3 linked regions of the Rattus norvegicus genome follow. The protein of the gene in region 2 interacts with the protein of the main gene of each other region in a pairwise test. Links are inferred from orthologs where the notes say so. Each region holds a gene or a part of one and is shown on either strand. Other genes may lie near its edges. The genes, in order: Ccdc90b, Tsc22d1 and Aplp1.

The links.
Region 1: the proteins of Tsc22d1 (region 2) and Ccdc90b interact in a two-hybrid assay, tested with the Homo sapiens proteins (2 studies listed by BioGRID and IntAct). The link is inferred for Rattus norvegicus from reciprocal best matches to the Homo sapiens genes TSC22D1 and CCDC90B.
Region 3: the proteins of Tsc22d1 (region 2) and Aplp1 interact in a two-hybrid assay, tested with the Homo sapiens proteins (2 studies listed by BioGRID and IntAct). The link is inferred for Rattus norvegicus from reciprocal best matches to the Homo sapiens genes TSC22D1 and APLP1.

The regions. Positions count from the first base shown.
Region 1 is NC_086019.1:156,054,354-156,059,617, forward strand, and holds the end of Ccdc90b (coiled-coil domain-containing protein 90B, mitochondrial precursor), read left to right. Parts: intron 1-1,090; coding exon 1,091-1,205; intron 1,206-3,989; coding exon 3,990-4,051; 3' UTR 4,052-4,397; downstream 4,398-5,264.
Region 2 is NC_086033.1:58,157,648-58,163,074, forward strand, and holds the start of Tsc22d1 (TSC22 domain family protein 1), read left to right. Parts: upstream 1-2,130; 5' UTR 2,131-2,467; coding exon 2,468-5,313; intron 5,314-5,427. UniProt on the Homo sapiens protein: Transcriptional repressor. Acts on the C-type natriuretic peptide (CNP) promoter. Acts to promote CASP3-mediated apoptosis.
Region 3 is NC_086019.1:94,823,889-94,828,593, reverse strand, and holds the end of Aplp1 (amyloid beta precursor like protein 1 isoform 1 precursor), read left to right. Parts: intron 1-961; coding exon 962-1,061; intron 1,062-2,340; coding exon 2,341-2,448; intron 2,449-3,052; coding exon of another isoform or gene 3,053-3,055; coding exon 3,056-3,079; intron 3,080-3,221; coding exon 3,222-3,292; intron 3,293-3,456; coding exon 3,457-3,519; intron 3,520-3,641; coding exon 3,642-3,785; intron 3,786-3,867; exon of another isoform or gene 3,868-3,869; coding exon 3,870-3,968; 3' UTR 3,969-4,264; downstream 4,265-4,705. UniProt on the Homo sapiens protein: May play a role in postsynaptic function. The C-terminal gamma-secretase processed fragment, ALID1, activates transcription activation through APBB1 (Fe65) binding. Couples to JIP signal transduction through C-terminal binding.

The sequences.
Region 1 (5,264 bases), on a different chromosome or scaffold from region 2:
TCTGTTAACGTTTTCAGGTCAGCTCTGTGCTTATTGTTATTTCTACTTTAGCAGTTTGGAAAATAAGATACAAAAAGGTTAAAATCACACAAGCAGGAGGTGGTAGAGCTGGGATAAGAACATAGATTGTAGGGGCTGGAGATGGCTCAGTGGTTAAGAACACTGGCTTCTCTTTCAGAGAAAGATTCAACTTTCAGAGAAAGAGCAACCACATGATGCTCACAGCTATCTATAACTCCAGTTCCAGGGGATCCGTCACCCCTATGCACACATCCACACACGCAGGCAGAACACCAATGCACATGTAAGAATAAATACATTTAAAGGATTCTAATCCAAGCGTGCTATGGAATCCCAGCACTCAGGACTGCAGTGAGTTTGAAGCCAAACCTGGCAAGTATGCAATGTATCCTTTCTCAAAGAACCCAGACTGGAAACCCAGTACTGAGAAGTCCTGTTTATATGCTTAATAACCCTATAAGAAGTCATTAGTAAGTAAACCCCAGCTTTCTGATTTAGCCTCATCCTTTTCTTAAAAGTTCTCTTGCTCAGGATTTAGTAAGGAAGAATCACCTGTGCTCTTTGAAGAACCCATTTTCTTTGACTCCTTGGCCAGAGAAAGTAGATAAACAAGGAAATGAGCAAATTCACATCAACCCATTTCTGAGCTTTGTCCCCTGTGCATGCAAAGTTACCCCCCAGCTTGGTACCAATTTGGTTGGTATTTATGGCAGAATATATTTAAAAGTTGTCTTTTTTATGTTTGAAAGGTTAATAATATTCCAAAGACTTTACATACAAAAGTGTTAGTTCTGGGACTAAAACGTTTGCTTCTTAGGTTATCATATATAGTTAGGTTTTGAATACCCTAAGAGATTTTTAGTAGACTGTGTCCAATATTGAATGATTCAAGAAAATTATTTCCCAATATGAAATTGGAGGAATGTTTTGTCACTTGGCAGTACTCATTACTACTAAGACTTTTTTAAATGCACCATTAGCACACAGTTTTAGGTTTTAATATAAATGTTTTTGTCCATAATATATAGGGATAAAACCTTAATTCTTTGCTTTTTCTGATTTGCTACAGGATATGCAAACTAAAAGTATTATTTCAGAGACCAGTAATAAAATTGACACTGAAATCGCTTCCTTAAAAACACTGATGGAGTCGAGCAAACTTGAGACAATTCGTTATCTTGCAGGTAAGGCTGTCTGTCGGAGTGAATGTTTGGATCTATTGGTTCCTACTCTCAGAATAACCATGCCAGGACAGAGATAAAAAGGAGCTAGAAATTCTCCTTCGTTGCTTGGTACCCTGTTTTCCTTGAAGAAGGTACCAGTTTCAAGATTGGAGTAGCAAGCAGCTGTGCAGTTTTACTGATAGAAAAAGGAGTCTGGTTATCAAGAAGATAAATAAACCCAAGAACAATATGGTAAAATTAATTGTGTAAATTCCACAATGAAAAATGTCATTTTATTGGAAAGGTTTGAAAGGATTAGAAAGATCACAAAAGTAGATATGGGCTGTTAAAAAACATAGCAAAAGGAGAGCAGTGGAGGGTAAGGAAACTTCTTACCTTGGACCAAGTGAGCACATAGACACTGTCCCGTACTTAGATTGGCTCACACTGAGCTCCACAACTTCAGTCTGACCTAAGATTTTTATGGCTCATGTGACAGGAAGAATGTATTTATTAAATATTACTTGTCTAAAGCAGTATGTTTTAATTTAAATTCAAGAGCAATGAAAATCCCCTCACCCTCTTAATTTAGTATTAGTTTATATGTTGTCTTCTGTATACAGGTAAGATACAGTTATAAAAAAGATTTTTCCGTTTTAGTTAACTCCTTGTGTTAAATGTAACTAAGTGTTAGAGGTGTACTTAAACATTAAGTGTTTAACATCTTTTTATTACTAACCATAGTATTTTGAGGTATCAACATGCGAACTTCCCCAGCAGTGTTGCTTTCATTTCTTCATCCTTAAGAGCAGTACTACTGAACATATATGTGCATGTTCACTAAATACACACATTCTATACCCATGTTGCTGTACACATTTAAAATTTGGAGTAACACCAGGCATGGTGGCACATGCCTTTAATCCCAGCACTTGGGAGGCAGAAACAAAACAAAAACCTGGGGGTCAAAAGATATACCTATTTTAAATGTGTGTATCAACAAATGACTATATAAATAAAATTCCTCATCATAGTGGTTTTCTGGCCACCCACTATTTGTGATGTGGCACGTTAGAAGATGAATGTGTCTCAGTCCTCAACTGATGTATATCCCCTTATTTTTTAATTTAAGGGCTCTATTTTTATTTCTAACATTAGGTTCATGTTTAAAATTCAGATTTAAAAAAAAAATCTAAAGTTAGGCTTTGAAAACCCCTACATTGACAAAGTCTGTAGAACCAAAGGTCTTGAGTTCAACTGTAATGCTAAAGGAAATTCTAAAACAGGCATTTGGAATGTTCATTCTCTTCCACAATCAGTCTCAAAGCAACAAAGAAATAGTTTCAGATTCTATCTGGTATTTCCCTATATTCTCCTGAGTATTTACCTAAAGAATACCACAGTTAAAAACAAACAAAATACTGCTGGGTACTTTTAATCCCAGCACTCAGGAAGCAGAGACAGGCAGATCTCTGAGTTCAAGGCCAGCTTGGTCTACAGAGTGAATTCCCAGTCAGGGCTACACAGAGGGATCCTGTGGTAGGGGTAGGGATAACACCACAAAATACTTTTTTACCCTCCAAATTGAAGATGGTGGCATTTTCCAGAAAACTTTCTTTTAGCAGTTCATAGATATACAAGGCAAATCTAATAGACTTAGTGGTAATAGCAAAAGAAATACACAAGTTAGCAATTGTTTTAAAAAAGATTTTGCTGGGTCTAGAGAGAAGGCTTAATGGCTGAGAGCACTGGTTGTTGTTCTAAAGGACCAAGGTTTGATTCTCAGCACCCATATGGAGACTCACAACCATCTGTGACTCCAGGATCCTGTCCCCTCTTCTGGCTTCCACAGGTACCTGACATACACATGGTGAACTGACATAAATGTAGGTATAACACCCATACACATAAAAATAGACTTTCTTAAGTCATCCTTTTGTTTTGCTGAGCATTTGGAACCAGTAATATTGAAGCATCTTCTCCTTCCTCCTTTAAGTATATTTTAGTACTGTTGTTGCCAGTGAGCAGTTTAGGAAGCCACAGTTACACATTTTTAAATAAGTAGGAAGATAAAGCATATATGGATCTATTTGTTCTAGAATACCTGAGATGTTGTTATAAGACAGTAAGATTCCCTTTCTTAAAGATTTACAAACAGCAGACATGGTAGGGTTTGGCTGTCAATTTGCCCAAACCTTCTAGGCTTAGTCTCCCAAGTGTCTGGAAGTATGGGTACATGTCAAAACCTCAACTGTGGAAACACCTCATACGGTCAGTCTGTAGACAAGGCTGTGGGGAATTGTCTTAATGACTGAGAGAAGAACTCAGTCTGATGTGGGTGGCACTACCTCTAGATAGGCTGAAAACAGGCTGAGTGAGACAGTCAGCAACACTGGTTTTGCTTCAGTTCCTTCTCTGGTTCCTGCCTTAAGTTCCTGCCCTGTCTTCCTGCAGTGATTGGGTGTGACTGAGAGTTGTTGAACCCTTTCCTCCCCAAGCTGTTTTGCTCATGGTGTTTATCACAACAACAGAACTCCTAAGACCTTGTGTTAGTAACTTTGAAGCACTGCTTACATTTTCTGACATGACATTTATATTTTTTTAATTATTTTTGTTTTGATCTCTAAAATATAGAAAGCTATTGATGTAACTATTGCCTTTACAAATGCCTTTTATTCTTAGTTTAATTTTCTTGGGAAAAAGAACATGAGATAAAAGTTTGATTTTCTGTTTCTGTTCATTTTTTTTTTTATTGTCTGAAATAATTAAGCTATGGCTTGTAACATAGTTTGTTTCTTTTCACAGCCTCGGTGTTCACTTGCTTGGCGATAGCACTGGGGTTTTATAGGTTCTGGAAGGAGAACTGACCCTCCTGTTGCTGCTGCTGGTCACTCCATAGAATGTACTTACTACAAACTCTTCAAAGAACTTGTAGACTAAATGGAGTGTTTTGGTATTTTATTTTTATGTTGTACATCTTTATGTTGAAAAGCTCTAACTCAAAGCCTGGCTTGAGATAGAAGTGCACTTGGTCCTTATCCTCTGACAACTATAGCAATAAAAAGTTTTGCATTTGACCTTTGTAAGTGAAATAGGATTTGTTATCAGATTACATTCTTGTAAACAGTTCTGTAGTCTATACACTTGCTGGATTTTATTTTCTTGGTTATTATTGCAATTAGATTTTTATATAAAATAAAATACTATAACAAAGTTGGTTGATTTTTCAAAGTGACTTCCTATGTAAGTGGAGTTTTTTTTGTAGTGAATAATAAGTTTAAAATAATGTGAATCCCATTTAAATGTGTTATACTTAAAATGAAATGTATAGTTTTTCTGATTACATGTATCTTTTTAATTTTTCATATGTGTAGAATTTGAGGGGTAGATTTTGTGGTGGTTTGTTTGTTTGCTACCAAGGACTGAACCTAAAACTTAGTGTATGTTGGCTGATTAGGTGTCTGCCAACCACCCTCTGTTCCCCAGAAATTATCCTCACCTCCTGAATTATGTCACATTACCCATCTATATGAAACAGACTTTCCCAATGACTCATTTAAATTCAAACATCTCTTGGGTTGTGTGTGTATGTCTGTGTGTGTGTACCATAATACATAGTACCATCTCATAGTTGGGGATTGAAACCTCCTAACCAGAACTAAAAAAAGGTTATTCACATTTGTTTTGCTTGCCTCCTTTTGTTGTTATCTAGTCTTCACATTTCCCTCTTCCTTTTTTCCTCTTTGTTTGTGTATGTGTATGAGTTACATATGTATTCATATGGTGGCCAAACATCACCTTTGGGTGTCTTCCTCATTCATTCTGTATCTTACTTTTTGAAACAGAGTCTCTCCTCTCCCCCCTCCTCCAACCCACCTGTTTCTGTCCCCTTTTCTTCCCCTTCCCCTTTTCACTCCCCAGACTTGAGGCTTACCCTTTCAGCTAACTTGACAAACCTCAGGAATCTATCTGTTCTGCCCCCAGCACTGGATTACAGACACAGGCTGTCTGCCCATGTTTACAGGAGCGCTAGAGAGGCAAATACAGTGTTCTTTATACACTGAGCCATCTCTCCAGATC
Region 2 (5,427 bases):
TGAGATTTATATTCTTGGTTAGAAGCAAAGCACTCGTTTGAGAGGTTTTGACATGTAATACTTCGGAGGCAGCTAACAGAAAATTGCCTCCAAGCAAACCCATCTACATCCATGAAATGTAGTTGGGGGGGGGCGATTTTTAGCTGGTCCTTTTGCTTTTCTAGCCCTAAAAGGCATTCTTCACAAATTTCCTTTAAATTCCACTAAGACCAAGCCCTAACCTTTTACCTCTATGAGGGCCACAGCAAGGACACAAAGACAATGAATGGCTGGAGGGAAGCTCCACCTGTTGGTTAGTTAGCTGGCCGGGCAGGCTCGCTTCTTCCCACCAGCTAAGGAGGGACAGCAAGGACCACTCCCTTTTGTAAGAGCCTTCCCCTGGGGTGGGCTTGGGAGATTCACTGCAAACATCCGTGCCATCTGCTAGCAGCCTCGCCCCTGCCCGTCGAAGGGCGAAGGACCGCGTGGCAGCCACCACCGCTCTGCACAAAAGGTACCACTGCTGTGGGGGAAGGCACCCGACTCCATCGGGGCATCCCCGGAAGGGGCGAGGGCGGTGCGGGTCGAGGGGGAACCCAGGTACTGCTTGGAGAAGGAGGAGGGGAAGGAGGAGGAGGAGGAGGAAGGCTCCGCCACGCGCCGAGGAAGAAAGCCTGACTCATGTCGTGGCAGCAGCGGAGGGCTCCTGGGAGCTGCAACTCGTGATGCTGTTGCTGAGGAGAAAAGCCTTATTACCCATTCAGCAGGCCGGGGGGACACCGCCCCAGGGCGCGCACACCCGAGACCTATCGCTCCTCACCCGCCTCGCCGGGGTCCGCGTGGGAGACAGCAGCGGACACGCCTAACCTGCGCGCACGCGCGCGGCGTGGCCCCCACGCCCCACCCTAGCTTCTCCACGCGACCCGGATTCGCTCGCGCGCCCGAGTGCCCCACCCCCACCGCCCTCAGGCGTCGGCGGCTCCGCCGGCCTTCGGCAATTTCCGTGGAGACGGAGCCGAGAGCTCGGCACGGACCGAAGACAGGCCACCTCCCCTAGTCAGACCCAGCTTTATGTCTGCAGCGCCGGCGCGCACGCGCAGACGCCATCTTCCCTCTTCTCCTCCGCGACCCCTCCCCCCCGCCTTCTCCTCCTCCTCCTCCTCCTCCCCCTCCTCCTCCTCCTCCTTCTCTTCGGTCAGAGCTCGACCCTCCTCCTCTCGCGCTGGGGCGCTGGTCCCTCCTCTCTTGATGCCGCGAGAGACCAGGGGATACGGAGCAGCCCGAGAAGAGCACTAGTAACAACCACCACAGCCCCCTCCTCGCCCGACGCCCTCCCACTCCTCCGCCCCGCGCCGCCACCGACCAACCCCACCTCTCATTTCTTTGAACGGCGTCGGCTGCAGCCGCTGCACCAGCCCCGTCTGGCCGTCGCCGCCGCCGCGAAAAGGAGCCACCGCCGCCCGCGGCCCCCTCCCTCCCGGTCGCGGGAGCAGCTCGGTGCCGAGCCAGCCGGCGGGCTGAGAAGAGGACGCGAGCTCGCCCCTCCGCTCCCGCGCACGTCCCGCCACCCGCCGGAGCAGCCTGGGCGCCGGCGCCCTTCCTCTCAGAGGACGTGTGCCGAGCCGAGCGCCTGCCCCGAGAGAGGAAAATGCTCGGGCTCCATGGCTGCCAGTGATGGAGCGGTCCCTGGGCTCCCGCTGCCGCCGCCACCGCCGCCGCCGCGCCCCGGCCGCGCTCCGCGAGGACCCGGCGTCTCTGCGCGCCCGCCCTCGCCTCGTTGCTGGGCTCACCGTACCCGGCGCCCCGCCGCCGCCCCGCTCGCAGCCGCGCCGCCCGGGCCCCAGTCGCGGTCAGCCTTTCCTCCCGGAGCAGCCGTCGCGAGCCCAGGGGGTTTGAGAGGGGCCGCGGGCCGCGGGGGGAGGCCCGAGCGGGGCCGGCCGCGCCGGCAAGGGAGGTTGGAGCGACGCTGAGCTCAGGGCTCGCCGGCGGCCGCGGCGCCGGGGGTGGCGAGGGCCGGGCGACCGCTCGCTCCGCGCTGCCTCGGTGCAGGGCGAGCGGAGGGGCTTTGCAGCGGCCGCCGCCGCGGGAGGAGGGGGTTGAGCTGGCTCCGGAGTTGGCCAAAGAAGGTGGGCATTTCTCGCTTCTCCTCGCCTCCCCCGCCCCCTCCTGGGCTCCCCTCCCTCCCGCCCCGCACCCCACGTGAAGCGGAATATAAAGGGGGGTGTGTGACTGGAGGGGAAAGTGAATGGCGAAGGACTGAAGGGGTCCCCCTTCGGTTCCCCAGCCACCTGGTTCACCCGGTTCATCCTCCCTTCCCGAAGCTAGCCCTCGAAGGCACGAGCAGCCGGCGCCTTCGGCAGAGGAGGAGGAGGAGGGATCGCGTCGGGCGGAGCTTCAGGTCCTGTTCGCCTCTCCGGCTTCTCCATACAAAGATTACGGTGCAGAAGGAAATTGCACTCGCCTCCTCCGCCCCCCGGTACCCAGCACAATGCACCAGCCGCCAGAGTCCACCGCCGCGGCGGCCGCTGCTGCAGACATTAGTGCTAGGAAGATGGCGCACCCGGCAATGTTCCCTCGAAGGGGCAGCGGTGGTGGCAGCGCCTCTGCTCTCAGTGCAGCAGGTACCGGCGTCAGTGGTGCTGCTCCATCTTCTGAAGATTTTCCTCCTCCTTCTTCGCTGCTCCAGCCGCCGCCTCCTGCTGCATCTTCCACACAGGGACCACAGCCTCCGCCTCCACAAAGCCTGAACCTCCTTTCACAGGCTCAGCTGCAGGGACAGCCTCTTGCGCCAGGCGGAACTCAGATGAAAAAGAAAAGTGGCTTCCAGATAACTAGCGTTACTCCGGCTCAGATCTCTGCCAGCATCAGCTCGAACAACAGCATAGCAGAGGACACCGAGAGCTATGATGACCTGGATGAGTCGCACACGGAAGATCTCTCTTCTTCCGAGATCCTTGATGTCTCCCTTTCCAGGGCCACTGACTTAGGTGAGCCTGAACGCAGTTCCTCCGAGGAGACTCTGAATAACTTCCAGGAAGCTGAGACACCTGGGGCAGTCTCTCCTAACCAGCCCCACCTTCCTCAGCCTCATTTGCCTCACCTTCCACAACAGAACGTTGTGATCAATGGGAACGCTCATCCACACCACCTCCATCACCACCATCACATTCATCATGGGCACCACCTTCACCACGGACACCACCATTCATCACATGCTGCTGTGGCCAGTACATCCGTTCCTGGAGGGCCACCACCCACGAGCCCCGTGTCCAGGAAACTCTCTACAGCTGGAAGTTCTGACGGTGGTGTGCCAGTCCCACCTACTTCTGCTGTATCATCGGCTGGCTTACCTGCCTCAGTGATGACGAGCATCCGTGCTCCAAGCACTCCAGGCAGCATAGGTGTAAATTCAGTTACCGGCACGAATGCAACGAATAATGTTAACATTGCTGCTGTGGGTGGTTTCAGTCCCGGTGTGGCGAACAGCGTGCATCCCAATGCTGTTAGTATAAGTGGTGGGCCTGGAGTTACCAGCGGTGTTAATGTGAATGTCTTGAGTGGCATGGGCAACGGTACCATTTCTTCTCCTGTCCTTAACGCAGCTGCAGGTATCACGGTGGGAGTGGTTTCAAGTCAGCAGCAGCAGCCGCAGCAGCCGCCGCCAACAGTTAACACATCAAGGTTCAGAGTTGTGAAGTTAGACTCTACTTCTGAACCCTTTAAAAAAGGCAGATGGACTTGCACTGAATTCTATGAGAGAGAAAATGCTGTGCCAGGTCCAGAAGGCGTGGCCATAAATAAAGTGGTGGAGACCGTGAAGCAAACCCCCACGGAAGCGTCCTCTTCGGAGAGGGAGAGCACTAGTGGGAGTTCCGTGAGCAGTAGTGTCAGCACACTGAGTCACTACACAGAGAGTGTGGGAAGCGGAGAGATGGGAGCCCCTACTGTGGTGGTGCAGCAGCAGCAGCCGCTACCACCAGCACCACCAGGTCTTCAAGGCGTGGCCCTCCAACAGCTAGATTTCAGTAGCCCTGGTCCACAGAGTATTTCTCAGTCACAGATGTCACAGGTACAACTACAGCCTCAAGAATTGAGCTTTCAGCAGAAGCCAAATCTTCAACCTGTTCCTCTGCAAGCCACTATGAGCGCAGCAACTGGTATCCAGCCTTCACCTGTCAACGTGGTGGGTGTAACGTCAGCTGTAGGTCAACAGCCTTCCATTTCCAGTCTGGCTCAGCCCCAGCTGCCGTATCCTCAGCCAGCTCCTCCCGTGCAAACTCCTCTTCCAGGGGCACCACCCCAGCAGTTACAATATGGGCAACAGCAACCAATGGTTCCTACGCAGATAGCCCCAGGCCATGGCCAGCCAGCAACTCAAAACCCTCCTTCAGAGTACGCACAGCAGCAGCCAATATTCCAAGCGGCAATGTCCTCTGGACAGTCCAGTTCCACAGGCACAGGAGCGTCAGTGATTCCCGTGGCTCAGCCACAAGGGATCCAGCTGCCAGTGCAGCCCACAGCAGTACAAGCACAACCTGCAGGGGCGACTGGGCAGCCCATTGGCCAGGCTCCAACAGCAGTGTCTACTGTACCAGCTGGTGGTCAGATTGCAAGTATCGGTCAGCAGGCAAACATACCCACTGCAGTACAGCCACCCTCTACCCAAGTTACACCTTCAGTTGTTCAGCAAGGTGCTCCTCCATCTTCACAAGTAGTCCTACCTGCTCCAACTGGGATCATTCATCAGGGCGTTCAAACCAGTGCTCCAAGCCTTCCTCAGCAATTGGTTATTGCACCCCAGAGTACCATGGTAGCGGTGCCTCCCCAGACACAGGGAGTGGAAGCAGTGGCTCATGGAGTTGTTTCCCACCAGTTGCCCACAGGTAGTCCTTTGCCCTCTGCTAGCACCATTTCTGTTACAAGTCAGGTTAGTTCAGCTGGTCCTTCTGGAATGTCTTCTGTCCCAACAAACTTAGTTCCACCACAGAATATAGCACAACCCCCAGCCACCCAAAATGGCAGTTTGGTTCAAAGTGTTAGTCAATCTCCATTGATAGCCACTAACATAAATTTGCCTTTGGCACAACAGATACCGCTAAGTTCTACTCAGTTCTCTACACAATCATTAGCTCAGGCAATTGGAAGCCAAATGGAAGACACCAGGCGTCCAGCGGAGCCCTCCTCAGGCGGCTTACCTCAGACTCTCAGTGGTGACAGTGGGGGAGTGTCAGCAGTCTCAGATGGGAGTAGCAGCAGCCTAGCAGCCTCTGCTTCTCTCTTCCCGTTGAAGGTGCTACCGCTGACAACACCCCTGGTGGATGGCGAGGACGAGAGGTAAGATCATGTGCTTCTGCAGGCATCGGGCAGTTCAAAGTTGATCTCTTTAGCAGCAGTACGTGTGGGTGCACTTAGTCCATATGTATATATATGCCTTTCCATTTGCATGTG
Region 3 (4,705 bases), on a different chromosome or scaffold from region 2:
TTTTTTCGGAGCTGGGGACCGAACCCAGGGCCTTGCGCTTCCTAGGCAAGCGCTCTACCACTGAGCTAAATCCCCAGCCCCAATACCATGCTTTTGACCCCCCTTCCAGTCCCTTGGAATCCTACTTCCTGTCTCTCAGATTCCTGTTTCCTCTCCCTTGGATTTTACTTCTCTTCCCAGAATCCTTTCCCTTGAGCCTGGAGCTTGTCCTTCAACCTTCCTCCCTAGCCCCGCTTGCTTTCCCTGGAGCCCCTGCTGTATGCACTCAGATTCTACTTCTGGTTTCTTGGACATTCTCTTTTGATCCACAGATGCTCTCCCCTGTACTTCTGAATAGCAAGCCTTGCCCATAAGCCATTACGACTCCTTTATGAATCCTCTAGACCGATTCCCATCTCCCCACAACCCCACATGTGTTCCTCCAGCCCTCTTGCTTTCTCCCTCTGACCCATGAGTCTTCTCCTCCATTGGTGTGTTCTCTCTCTCTCTCTCTCTCTCTCTCTCTCTCTCTCTCTCTCTCTCCTGTTTTTGCTTTTGGAGAGAGGGTCTCACTATATAATAGCCCTGTTTCCTTGGCCTGGAGCTTGCTACGTAGACCAGACTGTCCTTGAACTCACAGAGATCTATCTGCCTTTACTTCCCAAACGCTACTATTAAAGGCATGCACCACCACGCCCAGTTCTAAACCATATTCTTTGTATCCTCCTGTCTTCTTGCCTCCGGTACTGTTTTCCTCTGTCCAAGCCTTAAACTTCTGGTCTTATACACATCTCTTCCTTCTCTCTGGATCCTGCTTCTCCTGCCTCAGTTTCCTTCCTCTGTGGTTGGGTGTCTGACCCTTGTGCCTTACTCCCTGTCCATGCTCCATGGTCTATTTCCATGGTGCCTGTTGAACTCCTTTTCATCTCATTCTTCTCCAGCCCGCACTGCCTGCTTCATCCCTCGTACTCACTCCCCACAGGTCCAGACCCACCTTCAGGTGGTTCAAGAACGAATGAATCAGAGCCTGGGGCTGCTCGACCAGAACCCTCACCTGGCTCAGGAGCTGCGGCCACAGATCCGTGAGTGCCCGTTACCTGTGTCCTGAACTTCAGTTCTCCGAGGGTGGACTTTGACTCCCAACCCTCAATTTCCCAGTCTTCATTTAAATCACCGTACAACTCGGTAGTTCAGAGTAAGGGCCAGGTTTTTTGTTTTTATCCAATTAATTTGAATCAGTGTCCTCTGATCTGGATTTGTTTCTTTTGGTGGTATGGCTAGTAATCTATTAGTTGTACAGATTGATTTTAATCATGGCTTGTTTTTGTTCTTGTTGTTTGTTTTGAGACAGGGTCTTACTTTGTAACACTGACTGGTCTGAAACTCACTATGTTAGACCAGGCTAACCTTGCACTTTGAGCAATCCTTCTGCCTCCGCCTTCCAAGTGCTTGTGCCCCATCACCTGGCTAGATGATTTTTTTTATGGCATCAGGGATGGAATCAGGACTGTGAGCCCTGATAGGCAAGTGCCTCACCATCCCACATCCCCAGCCTTTGGCTTTTTTTTTTTTCCGGAGCTGGGGTCCGAACCCGGGGCCTTGAAGCTTGCTAGGCAAGCGCTCTACCACTGAGCTAAATCCCCAACCCCCAGCCTTTGGCTTTTTAAGACCAGGTTTTGTTCTGTAACTGAGGCTGGCCTGGAACCATGTAGCTCAGACCAGCCCTTAAATTCACAGTCCTCCTGCCTCTGTTTCCCCAGTGTCAGGATACAGCCATACATTGGCCCTACCCTCTTCAAAAAAATTGTGTAGTGTCAAGTGTGGTGGTACACACACTTCAATCCCAGCACTTGGAAGGTGGAGGCAGGCCGATCTCTGAGTTTGAGGCTAGCCTGCTCTCCAGAGCCAGTTTCAGAACACACAGAGGAAACCCTGTCTCAAAAGAGAAGAAAATTGGGTAGTCCTGGGGACTAAACCCAGGACCTTTTATATGCTTGGCGTGTACACCACTGAGCTACAACCCTGGGTTATTGAGTCTAGGTTCTATTGGTTAGAACAAGTCCCAAGTTAAATCTGGATTCAACAGAGGGAGCCTACACAAGAGAGACAAGACCAGGAAGTATCAGCCTGCACAGTCCCAGGCTACTGTGATTTCCTTCCAGACAGTCCATGCCTCGGTCCAAACCTACTTGAAGAGAGGATACAGCAGATCCAGCCTCCATCCTTCCTGCTAGAGCACCTTGCATGCTTCTGCCGTCTCTCTAATCTCCTGTCCGTTCCGCTGTGAGGGTGCCCTGCCCTTGCCCTGCTGTGACCGTCATACACTCACTGCCATAGTCATCTTTCTGTGTGTCCCCTCAGAGGAGCTTCTCCATGCGGAACACTTGGGACCTAGTGAACTGGAAGCCTCTGTGCCCGGGAGCAGCAGTGAGGACAAAGGTAGCCTTCAGCCTCCTGAATCCAAGGATGGTGAGCGAATACAGAGTCCCTCCCACCTTTGAGCGTCAAGCCTCTTCCCCTTGCAATGCCAGATTCCTTGCCTTAAAGGAAGAAGCTGCTGGGGAGCCCAGGACTTTGTGCATGCTGGCAAAGAGAAGAGAGTTCTTCCACTCAGCACTCAGCGCTAGCCTTAGCTACCCCCTCCCCTTTTATTTTTTTTAGACAGTCTAAGTAGCCCAGGCAGACCTTGAACTCAATATCTGGAGTAGCTCAGATCACAGGCATGTGTCACTAGGCCTAACTCAGTCCTTAGATTGTTAGGACAGGGTCCCACTCTATAGCTCAGGCTAGACTAGAACTCACTATTTAGCCTCGGGTGGCCTCAGACTCGTGATCTTCTTGTGTAAGCTTTCTAAGTGCTGAGTTCATAGACTGTGTAGTACCATAGCCAGCATACAGCCTTCTTTCCAATTCTCTAAGGTCTGGGGGTATCTGTGCCACCACAGCAGGTGGGAAGGAATAAGGAAGGATATCTGGGGGGTATTGGGCCTCTGTGGGGTCGTTGGCCCTGGTGGGGTTCTCTACTCTTTCTTTCTCTTCACTGTTTCACCTTTCATCTTGTCTCCTGTGCTAGCAGATGCCCCAGTGACCCTTCCAAAAGGTAAGTGTCACACGGCATAGACCCCGACCACCAAATACCACTGAACCCTAAACCATGAGGGGAAAGGGCTGCATGCCGCAGGAAGCCCATGCCGCCTGAGTGGAATCCAGCGCCCTTTCTGATGTGACTTGGGGTGGGGTAGGGTCCACAGATCAAGAGTCTTCCTCCTCTGGGAGAGAGAAGCTAACCCCACTGGAGCAATATGAGCAAAAGGTGAGTGGGTGTCTGGACCCTGGGTGGAGGGAAGGTTCTGGAGGCTTGGATTCCTCAGCTTCGGGAAGGAGCTTGCTGGGACATGGACTTAGTGTTGTTGGACTGGGAGGTACCCTTCTAGGCCCCGGGGTCTGTGACATCTCCTGACATCTCCTGCTTCCCAGGTGAATGCATCTGCCCCAAGGGGGTTTCCCTTCCACTCATCAGATATTCAGCGGGATGAACTGGTAAGAAGAGGCAGATCCTGGGGGCGAGGTCAGAGGTCAGCGTCTAGGCCGTGACCTCCAAAGCCACAGTGGATCCTGGTGAGCCTCAAAGAAACTCTTGGTTCCGCCTCCTTTCTCCACAGGCACCAGCTGGGACTGGAGTGTCCCGAGAGGCCTTGTCAGGTCTGCTGATCATGGGAGCTGGAGGAGGCTCCCTCATTGTCCTATCCTTGCTGCTTCTGCGCAAGAAGAAACCCTATGGCACTATCAGCCATGGAGTGGTGGAGGTGAGGGGCAGACATCGCGGTGGGGGCGGAGTTAAAAGCAGCTCTGCTCCCACGCGCTGAGCCCTTCCCTCGGCCCTGTTGCAGGTGGACCCCATGCTGACCCTGGAGGAGCAGCAGCTCCGGGAACTTCAGAGGCATGGCTATGAGAACCCCACCTACCGCTTCCTGGAAGAACGACCTTGACCCCAACCCTAGCTGCCTTCAGCTGAACCCTACTGCCCTTCTTCCGGTCCCCTAATCCCAACTCCCAGCTTCCGGTGGGGGAGGGAGATCTTGACAAATTCATTCCAAATTCCACCCCCTTAGAAATTCCCAGTTCCTGCCCCACCAGGGACCTTCTCACCTTAATTTATTTTACGTTAATTTATTGCTCCTTAAGGTGACCACCATCTGGGTCCCAGTGTATGTCACCCCCTGGAATTCACCGTCCCACGTTTCTTCACTAACATCCCAATAAAGTCCTCTTCCCCACCCGGCCATCCCGTGTTTCTGTTGGAGAAACTGTGTGTAAGCACAAGCACTTCTTGAAGGTTTTTAAACTGAGTGAGGGGTGTGTGTGTGTGCTGCGTGCGTGTGTGTGGGCACAAAATTTTAATCTCAGCACGCAGGAGGCGGAGGCAGGCAGATGTCTGTGAGTTTCAGACTAGTCTGGACTCTGTTCTACTTAAGAGTTCCAGAACAGCCTAGAATCAAAAACCCAAACAACAAAACCCAAACAAACCTGGACTGAACCTGGGTGAGGCTGTTTTAAACTTAGGTGGGGCCTGGAGGTGAGGGTTGCCGCGTAGGTGGGCGGGGCCCAGAGGCTGGGCGTTGTTTTTGGTCTGCCTGGGAGCTTTCCGTGGTGCTGAATGGGTCCCTGCTCTGACCCATTTGTGTGTATCAACCCTCCCCCATTCCCTCTGCTCTTAAGTTTTCCC